2 linked regions of the Arabidopsis thaliana genome follow. The protein of the gene in region 1 interacts with the protein of each later gene in a pairwise test. Each region holds a gene or a part of one and is shown in the gene's direction. Other genes may lie near its edges.

Region 1 (8,076 bases):
AACCTTCCTTCTTAAAACCTTCTTCTCTTCAGTCATTCCCCCTTATACACATGATTTTTCAAGAATTTAGACAAAATGAGAATCGTCCTAATCCTAGACGTAAGCAAACAAAAACAAGTATCAACCTTTATAAGAGAACTTCTTATTGCTTAACCAAGTCCTGAAAATAAACTGTACAACAAAACCCCAAATCTCCAATGTTCTTTGAATAGTTGAGTAAGTCTTGAATCTATTCCATCGACCACCAGGTGTAACAGAAACCTGTAAAACAATATTAAAGTAGCAAACTTTCAAGGAATTGAATCATTAAACAAAACGATATTGATTAAAAGTACATTACTTTATACCTCAACTTGTTTTTGTTGAGTGTTGTTCTTAAACCAAGCATCCTCTTGACCAATATCTTCTACTCTCTTCTTCCTCACTTCTTCTTTTCTCTTCTTTGTCACTTCCTCCGTTTCCACCGTTACACTTCCGTTCACATACTTCACCAAACTACCGTTACCGTTCAAACGAGCACTTCCGTTAAAATCTCCGTTGACGGATTTTCTCGCAGAGCCGTTACCGTTTAAACGTGCACTTCCGTTGTAATCACCGTTGATCTTCACTGCATTATCACGATCTTCAACAGCGACATTATCGTCTTTAGAAGCTCTGATTAATCTCGTACGAATCCGGAGATTGTGATTGTAGCTTAATCGGTTTCTGGGTAAGAAGATCCCGGCGATTGAAACGGAACGAGTGATTGTTGGAGATTGTCTTGAGTTGAAATTGATGTTTGGTAAAAGCAGAGACGACGATGAAGAAGAAGAAGTCGCCATTGATGGTAATACTTCGGAAGAGAGATCTCAAGTTAAACCCTAGTTTCTCATGGATTATTTGCGTACAAGAGATTTTGAAGAAGAAGAAGAAGAAGAAGGTGAAGACTTGTTGTTTGTTGGCACTTTGCAGTGAGAGGTTTTTTGAGGTTCATGACGAACCACAGAGAATGTTAAAAAAAAAAATTATGATAAAATAAAAGGGGTGGATATGAAAAGGACACGTGGCATAAGATGAGATTAGTGAAGGAGATGTTCTTGTGTTTTGATTGGTTGTGTTAAGACACCTCATCGTGTTATTTATCGGAGCCACAAACATTGTGCGATTTTTTTTATTGTTCCTTTTTCCAAACACTTTTATGGTCCATCTTCAAACCAAACTGATTGGTTCGGTCCTAAACTCGACTACTTGGTATGTTAATCTGGTCCTAAGCTATATGTATGACTTTTAGTTCAATTAAGTACTGAACCGATCCTATTCATTGAACAGAAAGCACCTAGAAACATCAAATTATCGCTAAAAATCGAGTAAACATATTATTACCTATTTAATTGACATTAACATATACATTGTATAATTTGAAGAATTCGTTGAACTTACAAGTTAATTCAGATATTTGGTCAAGTATTTTTCCTATATTAAGCTAATTATGACGAATTTTTAAAAATACAAATTAAATCAGAGGAAAAAGTTGGAAATTCGAAACTTTTCACTAGTCACGAAGCGACCAAAGTCTTACAACTTAAATACTTTTCTCAAAGTTGCAAATTTACCCCATAAGTTATATTTTAAGGCTATGGAAGCCCTCCTCCTCCCTCCTTCGCCGGAACCCCAAAATCAAATCACCAATCCGGCGAATTCAAAGCCAAATCATCAATCTGGTGACGTACATAAAGATGAGACGATGATGATGAAGAAGAAGAAGGATACGAATCCATCGAATTTGGAAAAGAGAAAACTCAAGGGAAAGAAGAAAGAGATTATGGACAACGACGAAGCTTCTTCGTCCTATTGTTCTACATCTTCTACCTCTAATTCAAATTCTACTAAAAGGGTTACGAGAGTGGTTCATAGATTACGAAACCCTATGCGGTTAGGTATGGCTCGACGAAGCGTTGGTGAACGACAAGCTGAAAAATTGGCGAAGCCTCTGGGCTTTTCACTTGCCGCTTTTGCTAATATGGTTCGATCAATTTCCAAACTTTGATCTTTATTGCATCACATAACTGTTTTGATACGAAATTGGCTTTGCTGGTACGGGTTGTTCCTATAGTTGACCTTGCGTGAATACTAGGTTTTGGTTGTGTTGAAAGTTTTGATCTTTAGATAGTATTAAATACAAAGTCTTTCAATTTAGGCTTTGTTGATTCAAAACTGGACAGAGGAGAGGATCTGAATCAGAGTCAAAAGGATTGAATCTGAATTTTCTTCTCTCAGTACTTGCGTGAATTCTTCACCCTGAATCGAAGAGAGGATCTTCTCCTCAAATTATAATCAGAGTCAATCAATAGAAGCTGAAGTTCTTCTTGGGGGTCTCTATGATCGAGCTTCAATGTAACATTGCAAATTTATATTGTCTTCTCTCTCACTTGCCTTAAAGCTTGAGCCTTTCTAGTTTCTACTCGGATTTGTAGTTCTGATTGTGATTTCACCAAATTTCATCCTACCTAGCCGCCAAAGTCATTGACTTGCATATGCTCTGTAGTTCTTACTCTGTTTCTACTCTGTTTTATTGTTCTCTAGGTTATTGCGAGAAAGAATGCCGCAGGTCAGAATGTTTATGTTGATGATCTTGTTGAGGTAAGTAGTATGAACTTCAAATGATTTCTTCTCAGTTTCTGTTCAATCTTTCTTTTGCCATCGTTTTGGTAGTGATACAAGAACTTCATTGATTATGCTCTCCAGATCTTTGCTACTCTTGTCGAAGAATCATTAGCCAATGTAAGCTAAAATCCCCCTCTATGTTTTCCGCATTTTTATATTTATAGACTTTCTGATTCATAATGTTGTGGTTACAGGTTTATGGTAATAAGCTTGGTTCCTTTGCGACCAACTTTGAGCAAACATTCAGCAGTACTCTAAAGATCCTTAAATTGACCAATGAATGTGCAAATCCACATCAGTCAAACAATAATGATGGTGGGAGTTGTAATTTAGATCGCTCTACCATAGACGGATGCTCAGACACCGAGCTATTTGAGAGGGAGACTTCATCTGCTACGTCTGCTTATGAAGTGATGCAAGGCAGTGCAACAGCAACCTCTTTGATGAATGAGCTTGCCCTTTTCGAAGAGACTCTACAACTCTCTTGTGTCCCTCCTAGAAGTTCAGCAATGGCTTTGACCACAGACGAAAGGTTTTTAAAAGAGCAAACACGAGCAAACGACCTAAAGACCGTGGAGATTGGTCTTCAAATAAGAGAGTTAAGGTGCAAAGAGACGGCGCTAGGATTAAAATTTGAATCAAACAACCTGGGGAAAGCGGCGCTAGAGTTGGATGTTTCGAAAGCTGCATTCAGAGCGGAGAAATTCAAAACCGAATTAGAAGATACAAGAAAAGAAGAGATGGTCACAAGAATCATGGATTGGCTCCTCGTAAGTGTCTTCAGCATGTTGGCTTCTATGGTACTTGGCGTTTACAATTTTTCAATAAAGAGAATCGAGGATGCTACCTCAGTATGCGACCAATCCGAGGAGAAAAGTTCGTCGTGGTGGGTTCCTAAACAAGTTTCATCGATTAACTCAGGCTTCAACACCTTCATCTGCCGGGTTCGAGTTTGGGTGCAGATATTTTTCGGTGTGTTAATGATCATTGTCTTCACTTACTTTCTAAACAAACGATCATCAGGTACGAAGCAGACAATGCCGATAAGTTTCATCGTTCTTTTCCTCGGTATATTTTGCGGTGTATCGGGTAAATTGTGTGTGGACACATTGGGCGGTGATGGCAAACTCTGGCTAATAGTTTGGGAAGTGTTTTGCCTTTTGCAATTCGTTGCAAATGTCTTCACATTGGCTTTGTATGGTCTAATGTTCGGTCCTATAAACGTGACTCAAGAGACCAGATCGAACCGTTGTAACAGTATGTTTCCATATTGGGCAAGGCGCAGTGTCGTGTATGTGGTGATTCTGTTTGTTCTTCCAGTCATAAACGGTCTTTTGCCATTTGCAACATTTGGTGAATGGAGAGACTTCGCTATGTATCACCTTCATGGTGGGTCTGACTATGCTTGAGACGAGGAGGCCATCTTTGTATTGTAATTTATTGTAACGATTTGGGTTTTTTAATCTTATTTTATTTTATGGGTGCTGTTGAAACAATTGTATCGCTATTACAAAGTTATGTATTCGAGTTATATGTTTGTATTGTTGTCAAAAGAAATTAAAATTATGCTTTTCGATATGACAAAATTTCATGGGTCAAATGGTACTTTATCTTATCAAGTTTTTGGATAAAAGTGCAAGTCAGTTTTGATTTGGAAGCTGGTTTAAATTGGATTGAACAATTTGATTTTTATGTTTGACAGCAATTGAACAGTTTGATTAAATTGTAAGTATTATGAATTTATGATGATGGTGATATCATATATAGAAGAAAATATTATGATATTGTGGGTGGGTCAAGTGGGTAAATGAGCAGGATTCTCTAATGTCTTAAAAATTCGATAATAATAATACAGAGAGACCTTTTTCTTTTATTTTCTCCATCCTCTTAATCGGCTTATCGGATCCGAATCCGGACCCGAAAGCCTGAAAACCCGACGATTAATTGCACGATGTCCGATGCTCCGTCGTCTTCCCCGGATGCCACGGCGTCGCACTGGTGCTATCACTGCAACAAACGCGTCGTCGTTGAAACCTTAGATGACTTTGTCGTGTGCTGCGAATGTAACAAAGGTTTCGTCGAGTCAATTCAACCGACTCCCGCCGCTTATTCATCGCCGGCGCCACCGCAGCCACTTTCCCCAGATCTGAATGTAGAAGACTCCAGTATTGGCTCGCATTTCCTCCAGATGCTCCGCTTGTTAGCCCACGCGCCTTCTCAGCGTTCACCACCACGACACCTTGATGTTTTATCTTACGAAGATGATTTCTTCAGGTTGGAGCTCAATAGTAGAAACGAAATCGACGATGACGAAGACGAAGATGAAGATGATGGAGATGAAGAAGAAGAGGATGAGGAAGAGAATTTAACCGTCAACGACGAAGAAGACGAAGAAGATGATCTGAGGAGGAGAAATCGTTTTCCTCTCACGACGACGCAGTCGAGAACCGGAAGAAACAGAATTCTCGATTGGGCTGAGATTTTGATGGGAATCGAAGACAATTCGATTGAGTTCCGTATGGAATCAGATCGATACGCAGGAAATCCGGCTGATTACATAGACGATGCAGCCGGATACGAAGCTTTGCTACAGAATTTAGCAGAAGGAGATGGTGGTGGTGGCGGAGGAAGGAGAGGCGCACCACCGGCTGCGAAATCGGCAATAGAGGCATTGGAGACTTTCGAGGTTAGTTCTTCGGAGGGAGAGATGGTTATGGTTTGTGCTGTGTGTAAAGATGGAATGGTGATGGGAGAAACTGGTAAGAAGTTACCGTGTGGACATTGTTACCACGGAGATTGTATTGTGCCATGGTTAGGAACAAGGAACTCTTGTCCTGTCTGTAGATTCCAGCTTGAGACTGATGATGCTGAATATGAGGAAGAGAGGAAAAAAAGAACTTCTACCGTGTCAGATTCTGCTGCTGCTTCTTCTTCTTCTTCAACTTCTCGTTACTGAAGTGGAGGAAATGCCCCCATTTGTTGTTACTTTTGTTGTTACTCTTTCTCTTTAGATTAATCTTTGCTTAGTCTCTCAACACTATTTGGTTGGTTGCATGTTGCATCAAAGAAGCGAGAAAACAGAGAACAAAAAAAAAAAATCCGGCTCCAAAAAGACAATTGTTATTTGTAAGTGTGTTGTATCTTTGGCCTAAACAATCCCATAGTGGTTTCTTTGATTCTCAGTTGTTCATAAAGTTTGCCGAAACAAAAAGGTTCCTGGGTTTAGGAGAAACGGTTACAGGACTTCGTGAGCCTTCCCGAAGTACCTGTTTATGAACGGGGACTGCACAGAGACCAACAAACTTATATCAGATTTTGGCAATAATATTCAGAGTTCCATTGACAAACTAAGTTGGATTTGTTTTGTACCTTCTCAATTCCTGCAGTGTGGGGTGTGTCTGGTGAAGGCAATGGATAAAACTTGTACAACCTCATTTCTTGATAGGCTTTTTTTGTTTCTTCGCTCAGTCCTTCCTTTGCTTTCTCTAGGGCTTCTTGTGCCTGCCAATTGTAGAATCCATTGTTAAGTATATGTGCGGCTCTGTAGCAGAGGGTATGAAACATGATACCGTGTCATAAGCTGCCATAGCTTTGTCACTTTTCTCTTTGACAAACTCCTGAAAAAAGGAAACATATGGGTGAGTGATTTTAGAGACCTCCCTCAAATGAATTCATCAAATCAATTCCAGCTCTTGCTTGCTTACCTCGAACGCAACCTTTTGTTCCGGGAGTAATACCTCCTCATTGATCAGACTGTCGGTGAATTCCTAAAATAAACTGAGATGAGAAGTAATTCAAGTAAGGTGTTTTATTGGAAAAGTCAGATACTGCACCTCAATGACGCTTTTCACCCAGTCATATTCACATTCAACCTGCACAAAGGAAAAGTAAGTTTGATTAAAAATGAAACTACCAAATTGTATTGTCGATCAGTTAAGAAAGACAAAAATAACTTACTGGTGGCTCAGAAGGGAACATTATTTTAACCACAGTGCTCTTCTCAGAGTCATCAACCTTATATGGGTTGTTGATGTCTGCAAATCATAGTAAAACAGTAATATTTACAGTATGATGTCTAGGGAAAACAAATCTCAAGCAAATGAAAACATGGTACTGAGAATATAACATCAATAACAACCAGCTAAGCATCAAAATTAGAGCTCACAAGGAAGGCAATAGTTGAACTTTTTAACACGATCGTCAGGCAAATGTTTGAGAGCAGACCTGCAAAGAAAATATACAAAGCTAGGCTGAATACACCAAATTCTGCACTCGTTAAGTTACTGAATGTGAATGGGAATGATCGAAGAATGCAAAGTGTTGCATCACGTTTTCAGATAAAGCTATCTGCTTCAAAACCATATGTAATGTAATTCTTTTTCCTCTACAAAGCGAATGAACAAATCACGTCTTCTATAACTTCCTAACTTGCATGGTAACAAGACATTGGGAGGAAAAGATACCACAGAGTATTTACCTTCTCTGAGTACAGCCCAAGATGAAAATTGGAAAGTTCTTATTATCAACTTGTCTATCCCTGCAGAAGAACAAAAGCAGATGAAATTAGCAACAACTCCCATAAACATCAAAAGTAAGAAGAGTAATACACAAATATACTATCTGTTTCATTGCTTAAGACCCTCTCACGAAAATATGTGTACAACTCAGGGATGTCTATATACCTTTGTTCAAGTGGGATGTAAGGAACCCAAGCCATTTTCATAGTTTTCATTGCAATAATTTCCCCAACCTCTCCTTGAACCGATGCAACTCCTATCTCATCAGAAGGGGGAATAGGTGAATCAATCTGTAAATAGATAAGAACCAAAATTAACCGTCAGTTATAGATAAACAATATGATCTTGTTTTCCAATCACAATGCCGAGCTTATTTTTCAAACACCAGTGACATGATATAAAAAACGAAACCAAAGCTTACACAAACGACAACAGGAACAAGGACATCCTTGTTTTCATCTTTGTAAGTGACTGAATGAGCTGCAATGATAAGATAGATGATATCAAAAGGGGAAGAGAGAGATGCACATTGCAGTACCAGATGACTTTGCAAGCAAATCAGTCGACAAGATAAATGTCACCTTAATCTAATACCAAGAAACAAATAGTGCTATCTAGGTATAACTTACACTCAGTGCAGCCAAAAACATAGACTTGCTTCCCATAGAGCTCTCCACCTTCCTCCAGAGCTTCCTGTCATACAAAGCAAAGAGTACTTCATAACATACTAGTTAAGCACAGAAAAAAAAGTTATGCCACACTAAATGAACTATAAATTATTAACAATGGGAAATGAAACAGTATTATAGAAGCCACTTACTTCAAGATTTGTAAAATCCCAGTTGAATTCATTAAGTGCATCCTGTTGGTCCCACTGTATTCACAATATACAGAGCATAAGCCACAAATACAACAG
Region 2 (8,308 bases), on another chromosome or scaffold:
ATTCAAGCTCTCACACCAGGTACTAAAACTTTCGTAAAGTCTTCTAGATCCCACCTTTCGACTCTGTTCTTGTCAACATGAGAACTATATGTCTCACCTTTCGACTTAATTGTTCTGTTCTTGTCAGCATGAGAAGAAAACATACGACATACTTGTTAAACAATTGGGAGACGATGATTCTAGGACACGAGACTCTCTAAATTGGATGAAGACGTTTAAGATGCGTGAGCTTCAGGTTTGGTGCACTGATAATGACTGAGGAGAACCTCATTTATCTAGTATACATTTTGTTTGGATTTCTCAAATTTTCTGGTTGGGTTTTGAATCAGATGACTGCACAAAAGCAGAAAGGACAGGCAGCTAATGCAGCCAACACGCAAAAGGCTATCGATCTCCTAAAGGTATACTTGCAGCTTTAGATTTCGGCATATTTTGCTGAAAAGGAATAACTCCTCTATCTTTGATGTTGTAGAGTTGAAATAATAATGAAATCGTTTTCCTGATTGGTATACAATAGGCACATCCAGACCTGATACATGCGTTCCAAAACGCAGCTGCTACTGGGAGGACAAATGCACTGAACTCTGCTGTCCTTGGGGAGACTCAACCACGGGGCAGAGGTTTTGATGAAAGAGCAGCTCGTGCTGCAGCTGAAGTTAGGAAGAAAGCAGCTGCAAAGGGGCTACTGGTTCGCCCCCAGGGTGGTGTTCCAGTTCAAGCCATGCCACCGCTCTCTCAGCTCCAAAACATGATCAATACCGCCACAGTTTCGTCTGAGAAAGGTGGAGAAAACGGGGAGGCAAAGGTACAAGAGAAGAAAGAATCCTCTGAAAATGGGAAAACAGAAAACCTGGCTCCTGCAGGATTAGGTGCTGGTTTAACATCTTTGGATAAGAAGAAGCAAAAAGCCAAAAAATAAGAAACAGTAGGATCTTGAAGGAAAATGGTGCTCAAAGAAAGTGCACGATTCTAAGTAGTGAAGTTGGTTTTTGTCTCTGGAAGTCGATAAACCACTTGCTGATTTCATTACATGACAACAACGCTTTTGTACGTTAAGCTTTGTTTTTCTTCCCATTATGTCACAACGATTTGGGTAAGTCCCGCTTCCAGGCATGTCTGGCTTTTTTCTTTTTTCTTTTCCCCTCACTTTTCTGCGGGTGTAATTTTATACCACAAAAACGTCATTGATTTTCTAGTAACTCCAATAAGCTCACAGTTCACGCTTATACCTAACCTTGCAGCCTTACTATTTTTTTGTGCTCTATACAAAAATCTTTTACTTGGCTTCTTGTGTCTCTAGAGTCTAGACTTTAGAGGGACACTAGATTGAACTCGACTAACAACGAAGAATCATGGAGTGGATACATCAATTTCGATCAACCATTAATGATCATCACATACTTCATTTATGTTCATCTTCCATCAATGATGAAGATGAACAGTGGCCTGTAGTGATGTTGTCACTGGCCAAAACAGTGGTCAGGCGTAACCCGAACAAGTACCTAAGTGTATATCAACCCATTTAAGTTTAAGTCTGCGGCGTGAGAGACGGGTAAATGGGTAATGTTTCTAGGCCCAAATTATAGGCCTTAATAAGGCCCAATTATCCACACAGGTTAGAAGTGAGGACGGCTAATGGATAATGTTGACGACACTCGCAACTTCTTCCTTATCGACACCTACACTCTCCTGCTACAATGGCGACTTTCCTAACAAATGTTGTTTCAATCAAACCTACAATCTTCTCATTCCAGTCCGAATCCTTCACTCCTTTGCATACACGGGTCAATGTATTCTCCTCGAAACCCTTTCCTTCTCTCGCTGGAACTTTCTCCCGGAGCTCTAGAACGAGATTCATTCCTTATGCTGTAACGGAGACGGAAGAAAAACCCGCCGCTTTGGACCCTAGTTCAGAAGCTGCCAGGCGTGTGTATATCGGTAACATACCCAGGACGGTGACCAATGAGCAGCTCACTAAACTTGTTGAAGAACACGGTGCTGTTGAAAAAGTTCAGGTTTTTATTCATAACATCTCCTTCTTCTATTATTTCTTAGTTAGTTATCATCAAGATTTGTTATTTGATGTTGTGTTGATATCATCAGGTGATGTATGATAAGTATTCAGGAAGAAGCCGTCGATTTGGGTTTGCTACAATGAAATCAGTTGAAGATGCTAATGCTGTGGTTGAGAAATTGAATGGCAATGTAAGTTTTTGAACCCTTAACTGCTTCGTTCTATACATTTTAGTTCTGAATATGACAGAGCTTGTTTTTGGTTTCTCAGACCGTTGAAGGGCGTGAGATAAAGGTTAACATTACAGAGAAACCTATAGCATCATCACCTGATTTATCAGTTCTTCAGTCTGAGGATTCAGCATTTGTAGATAGCCCTTACAAAGTGTATGTTGGGAATCTAGCAAAGACTGTTACAAAAGAGATGCTTGAGAATTTGTTTTCTGAGAAAGGGAAAGTAGTAAGTGCTAAGGTTTCAAGAGTACCTGGAACTTCCAAATCCACCGGGTTTGGATTCGTTACGTTTTCTTCTGAAGAAGATGTGGAAGCAGCCATTGTTGCTCTTAACAATTCGGTAAGTATCTCTCAACTGTTCCATCTTCTTCGACTATAGAGTGTGCATAATCTTTTTGTCTCATTTTGTTGTTGGTTTTAAAATGCAGTTGCTGGAAGGACAGAAGATTCGGGTGAATAAGGCTTAGCCTATTGGATCATAAAGAATGTGAAAAGAATCGCTTTGAAGAGTTTTTGTAATGCAAATCATTAGAGCTTAGTGTATCATCTTGTATTCATTCTAAGTTGAAAATGAAACCATATCTTTTCAAAAGCTTATAGTTGTGGTAATCTTGTTTCTAGGCAGTGTAAACAGAGAACTCCAATGACATGAACAAGTCATGCTACATCCAATTCAGAGGTAGGGATGATAATGAAGATCCCCAAGCTAAATTTATCTCCACCAAGTTTCCTTTCCATAAATGTATCATACAATGTAAAATTGCTACTTGTGTGACTTGTGAGCTTTGGTCACTCAAAATTTCTTAATTTAGTGTCTACTTCTGTAGCTCTTCTGTTGCTTGTTATGTTGTAAGTTGATTGCAAATTTGCAACGGTCCTTGTTCGATGAGGAAGAACCAGAGCTTCGAGAAGCACTTGATTCTCATTGGACTTTCGTTGGCAAACTGATCAAAATCTCGACCAACGGTTCCTCAGAGGTCTCAAGTTCAAAACTTTTTCTCTCTGGGTCCTTACTTCTACCTTGGAACAACTGAGTACCGATCTTATCTTTAAATTTCACGGCGAAGGATTAGAAATAAAGAAATTACCTTTCTTTAACTAAAAATCAAGCCAGAGATGCTTAGCTTGCAGTGTCTTCCTCCTTTCTTCATCTCCGTCCCAAATCGGAGCACCAATTCTTGCTCCACGGCTCCACTTCGTGCGGTCAGTGACTTCGCTGCTTCTCCGTCGACCTCAATCTCTCGCCGTCTTATCCTTCTCCGTCACGCTCACAGTTCCTGGGATGATCTTTCCCTCAGAGGTACTCTGATTCTCCTCTTTCTCGCTCAAAATCGAAAAATCAAATCTTTAATGTCTCTCTTTCTCTCTGTCTGTGTCTTAACGATAGACCATGATCGTCCTCTAAGTAAAACCGGAGAAGCAGATGCTGCCAAAGTAGCTCAAATCCTCTCCTCACTCGGTTGGCTTCCCCAACTTATTCTCTCAAGGTAAGTTCCTTCTTCAAATTATCAGTTTTGTTTTTCATTTCGTGATTGAGAATTGTTGAAATCATTCACTTCACAGCGACGCCACTCGGACTAGAGAGACACTGAAGTCGATGCAGGCTCAAGTAGATGGGTTTATGGAGGCAAATGTACATTTCATTCCTAGCTTTTACTCCATTGCTGCTATGGATGGCCAAACAGCCGAGCATCTTCAAAACATTATCTCCAAATATTCAACCCCTGATATCTCCACTATCATGTTAGTTTCTCATCAATCTTTTTTGCTTCATCTTACTTGTGCTGTGTTATCATTTCTTATTTGATTGATACATATAGGTGTATGGGGCATAATAAGGGTTGGGAAGAAGCAGCTTCCATGCTCTCTGGAGCTTCTATTAAGTTGAAAACATGCAATGCTGCTTTGCTTCAGGCTTTTGGCAACTCCTGGGAAGAAGTTTGTTGATTCAATCCTTTTTTCAGATATGCATGAGCTCGCTTTTTCTTTGATTTGGAGCTAATTCTTTCTTTTGGCCATCACAGGCTTTTGCGCTGTCCGGGCCTGGTGGATGGAAACTTGAGGGTCTAGTGGCTCCAGATAGTAGCATCTTTGTGTAAGAGAATGGAACATTACAAAGCTTCAATTTTTAGCTTTTTCCATGGTTGCAACTTTTGCTCCTACAGTATGTCATTCTTCAACTTCATGTCTGTTGCATAATATATATAAAAAGGTTGCAACGTCTCATCCTTATGTGCATAATTAAGCTCAGTTTTTAGCTACTGAAACAGATGAGTAAATCAAGAGTAGATTGCGTCTCTTTATTGTTTGTTTACCTTATTAATGTAAGATCCTAGCATCAGGGATATGTTCAAATGCAATCACACTATTTGAATAAATTGTGGATTTTGCATTGGTGGGTTATTTTATTCATGTTATCATACAATTGTTAACTTTGATGAATCCTCAGAGATTCCATGGGTTGTTATGTCTTGGAGGGTCAATGTTTTTTAGGGCTTTCCATACAACACTATTGCATTTAAACCCTGACCCGAAACCGATTTGCCAAACCCTATCTCCTCTTTTCATCTTCGCCTTGTGTTCTAGGTAAGCCAGCTCGTACCATATACTGCTGCTTGATGTGTTCCCGAAACGCTCCAATGTCCGTCTTGATGCCTCCATATTCTCTTCTGTCAACTTGAGATCCTTATGAATGTCATCAAGTACTTTCTTACTCGATGCTAATACGCATATATGTTCAAAGGAAGGCTCAAGACGACCAAGCGTTGCAATGTTTGCTTTCAGTGCATGGCGCCCAACTTCCATTACATCTCTAGATACATATAGTCCTTGTTTCCCATCTCTGTCTTCTCTTAACTCTATGCTCTTGTAACTTGTGTCTTCCATGCCTTTATGGGTTCTTACTAGCTGTTTTATTCACCAGTTACAATGTCATCAGTCAAAACAAAGAACAGAGCAAGAGTAAATCAGAGTGTTTCTTTGTTCTTCTCACCTGCATAAGTTGGTATTTGGCTCGCCATCTGTCGATACGCCGACTAGATAGCATAACTGCAGCTGCTCCCATTCGAAAGAAGCAATTTGGTGGAAGCAACGCGACGTCATTACCTGAGTACCAAGTGAAGCTTACTATCTCAGTGCTCACCACCAAAGCGTAAGAGCCTTGATGAGCGTTTAAAAGATCTTTGGCTAAATCAATGGCTATGACTCCGGCGCTACACCCCATACCACCAAGATTGTAGCTCTCTGTGTTATGCCTCAGCTTATAATGGTTAATCACCATGGCCGATAGAGATGGCGTGGTGTTGAGGACTCCGCAGTTTAGCACCAGGATCTTGATATGCTTCACATTGATTTTGGTCGCTGCAAGAAGTTCATCAATTGCTCCAAAGATCACCATTGCTGCTTCTTCACGACCATCACGAAGATTGACCCTGTGACCAGGCTTGAAGACCACTCTCGGCATGTAGCTCTCCTCTCCTATCCCTGATTGGTCCAGCACTTTTCTTTGAAGCTCGATGGCAGTCTCGTTGAAGTTACCAGACTTCATTGCCAGCTCGATGAAGTCGCTTTTTGTGATCTGTACAATTTACATCCACAAAACAACAATGAGAAGACAGAGAAAGAGAGAAGAGAGGTGGGGATGGAAGAGACATGATGACCTTGAGATGATCGGGTGGGCGGTAACAGGAGAAATCGAGAAGAAAAACAGAGGAAGGAGTAAGATAATGATAGATGAGGAGGATGAAGAAGGTAGACAAAGGGAAAGCCAAGATTGGGAGAAATCGAGAAACAAAGATGAAGAGAAGAAGAAGAGGAGGAAGGAAGAAACAAAAGGTACGTGAGAGAGAGAGAAGGTAAATGTATCCAAGCTTGACATATCTCAAATTATATCCGAGGAAATCAGGACTGCCCTTAGGTGACTTTGACTTAACTCCACCATTCACCATCTTTGTTGCCTCTTTTTCCATTTTCACTAAGCATCAAAACCTTGTGGTCTCTCAATAAATAATCAAATAAATATGAGTCAGTGTAACAGAAAGATGGCTTCTTTGCTGCATGTTACCGTTGAAGTGGCGGGTTTTGCTGCATCATTCAGTTGGTGTGGTGTAACTAAACCAATGCTCGGTTCAGGTAATTACCATTTTTTTGACCAATGAGAAGTAATCTCTCATTCTCCAAGCAATAATCGATAAATTCATACAACTGAAATCCATCATCTCCGTTGAAATGTTCAAGAAGATAATCAGAATTCTGATGTTTCATCCCTGATTGGACTATATTTGACTCAAACCATTATATGTAACCTAAACATTCAACACAAAAATTGTACAGCACATTTCAAACCATATTAAGCTTACCAACTCTCACTAATGAAAACTACAAAAGTTTAACCAACGGATCTCTACAATGAATTATTACTCTGACCAAAACTTCACAAAGGCTGTCACGAAAGATTTCAGAACTGCCAAGAGAGGATTTGTTTCTTGTCTTCCCATATTAGATTCCCCTTTCCACGATTCACTGAAAACAAGAAGAACGAAAGCTATGTGAAAAAGGAGACCCAAACACAATACCAACAACGCTAAAGCACAACTGAGACTTCGGAGTGTGTTCACTCACGGTTTAATTCTGTTTAATGTTGCATTGTTTTCTTTTTGAGAGCTGGAACTATCTGGAGCATCAATTTTCCCTTTTTCCATGGTTGCCTTCTTCTCTACACTTGCGACTTCATTCCCGGCATAGCTACTCACAGTGTCCACTTTTGCTCTGTCGTTCTTACGACTTCCCGACTGTTACACAGTTAAAAGGTTACAAAGTTATCATCCTTTTCTAGATTTTTCATGTGCCAAGTAGTTTAACTCAGTTTTTAAGAACAATCAACTAACAGCTCCGCGTATATTCAGTTTCACCTTAGTTCTCAAAGTTGGAACATCAAAATTGACTACCAAAACATCTTAAAACATTCAAGAGGTTGACTATTCCATCATTAACGTCCTTCAGCCACTATGATGAAAAACCTTATCCTAAACTCAGATAGGAAAACTAAGAGAATATTTAGGACAACCTGTGGAACACAAACATAATTCTTGCATCGAACCCATGAAGATTATCTAGTTCCAGTATCCAAATAGAATTTAAAAGGCACACATATACCAGACGAAGCTTACCTCAGTGCTAGATGTTGGCATTTTCTGTTCAGCTGTCAAAGTTCCATTACTAAATTCCTTTGTCTCATGGACGTTGCCAATCACACCATTCACAACAACTGTCTCTTTAGCATCAGCACATTCAACATCTACTGAAGCAGAATTTACAATTTCCTCTCCAACTTTCTTTTCCATAGGGACAGAAATATGATTTGGTATTTGACCAACAATGACTTCCGTCCCTATGTCTTCAAGTACAGCAGATGAAGTGGATGATGAAATCTCCCCAAGATCAACATGATTTACTGTGCTGCGATCAGCTTCCACCTCCGTTTCAGTTCCTTTCCCACCCTCACAAACTTTGTTCAACTCAGTAGGTTGTGCATCCGGTGAGTCCATCGTTGAAGTCACAGATTTTAATGGAAACGTCTCAACAACTGTTTCTGCTGACATATCAATTGTGCCTAATCCGTTCTTAATTTCGGTCATTGCTGCTCCTGCATCATTCACTCTATCGTCATTGTTAACAGGCTTTGTGCCGTCTGATTCCATGAAACGAAGTTCCTCAAATCCTTCGTCTTTGTTATCCACATCGAGTCTTTTATCCTGTGGTTTGGTGTCAACGCTATCGCACACTGTCTCCATTCTATTTTGTAGCCCTGCATTACTCTTGATATCATTGTCTTCACTGCAAGATGTTGCAAGCTGAGTCATAGATATGTCAGTGGAGTCCATTGACTGGTGTACGAGCCCAATGTCTTCTTTCAAAAGTTGACTTCCACTCACTTCCCTGCAATTATCCAAGCAAACCTGGCTACCGTTAACGTTTCCCTCAGGTGACTCAGAAGAAAAATCAAGACTTTGATATGACCCAGAATGAAATCCGTTTGGGGACAAAGATAAAGGGGGCACAG

The links.
Region 2: the proteins of CIP8 (region 1) and AT3G52155 interact in a two-hybrid assay, tested with the Arabidopsis thaliana proteins (one large-scale study listed by BioGRID).

Annotation. Positions count from the first base shown.
Region 1 is NC_003076.8:25,941,861-25,949,936, reverse strand, and holds CIP8 (COP1-interacting protein 8), read left to right. Parts: upstream 1-4,494; 5' UTR 4,495-4,594; coding exon 4,595-5,599; 3' UTR 5,600-5,822; coding exon of another isoform or gene 5,823-5,926; 3' UTR 5,927-5,946; downstream 5,947-8,076. Other genes in the region: ATH13 (ABC2 homolog 13), read right to left, coding at 1-41, 126-261, 348-821; CPR5 protein, read left to right, coding at 1,616-2,002, 2,563-2,619, 2,725-2,760, 2,838-4,052; AT5G64910 (Serine/Threonine-kinase), read right to left, coding at 5,823-5,909, 6,013-6,144, 6,213-6,260, 6,348-6,410, 6,477-6,515, 6,601-6,677, 6,809-6,867, 7,121-7,180 and 4 more. UniProt on the Arabidopsis thaliana protein: E3 ubiquitin-protein ligase that mediates ubiquitination and subsequent proteasomal degradation of target proteins. Probably forms a minimal ubiquitin ligase complex in cooperation with the E2 enzyme UBC8.
Region 2 is NC_003074.8:19,340,377-19,348,684, forward strand, and holds AT3G52155 (Phosphoglycerate mutase family protein), read left to right. Parts: upstream 1-3,318; 5' UTR 3,319-3,363; coding exon 3,364-3,547; intron 3,548-3,580; exon of another isoform or gene 3,581-3,597; coding exon of another isoform or gene 3,598-3,634; coding exon 3,635-3,734; intron 3,735-3,810; coding exon 3,811-3,990; intron 3,991-4,067; coding exon 4,068-4,185; coding exon of another isoform or gene 4,186-4,194; exon of another isoform or gene 4,195-4,271; coding exon 4,272-4,342; coding exon of another isoform or gene 4,343-4,346; exon of another isoform or gene 4,347-4,692; coding exon of another isoform or gene 4,693-4,833; coding exon 4,834-4,837; downstream 4,838-8,308. Other genes in the region: NOXY38 (tetratricopeptide repeat (TPR)-containing protein), read left to right, coding at 1-19, 128-235, 330-401, 518-919; PSRP2 (RNA-binding (RRM/RBD/RNP motifs) family protein), read left to right, coding at 1,698-2,015, 2,104-2,205, 2,285-2,587, 2,676-2,714; KCS15 (3-ketoacyl-CoA synthase 15), read right to left, coding at 4,693-5,154, 5,240-5,824, 5,907-6,215; AT3G52170 (DNA binding protein), read right to left, coding at 6,663-6,768, 6,868-7,037, 7,416-8,308.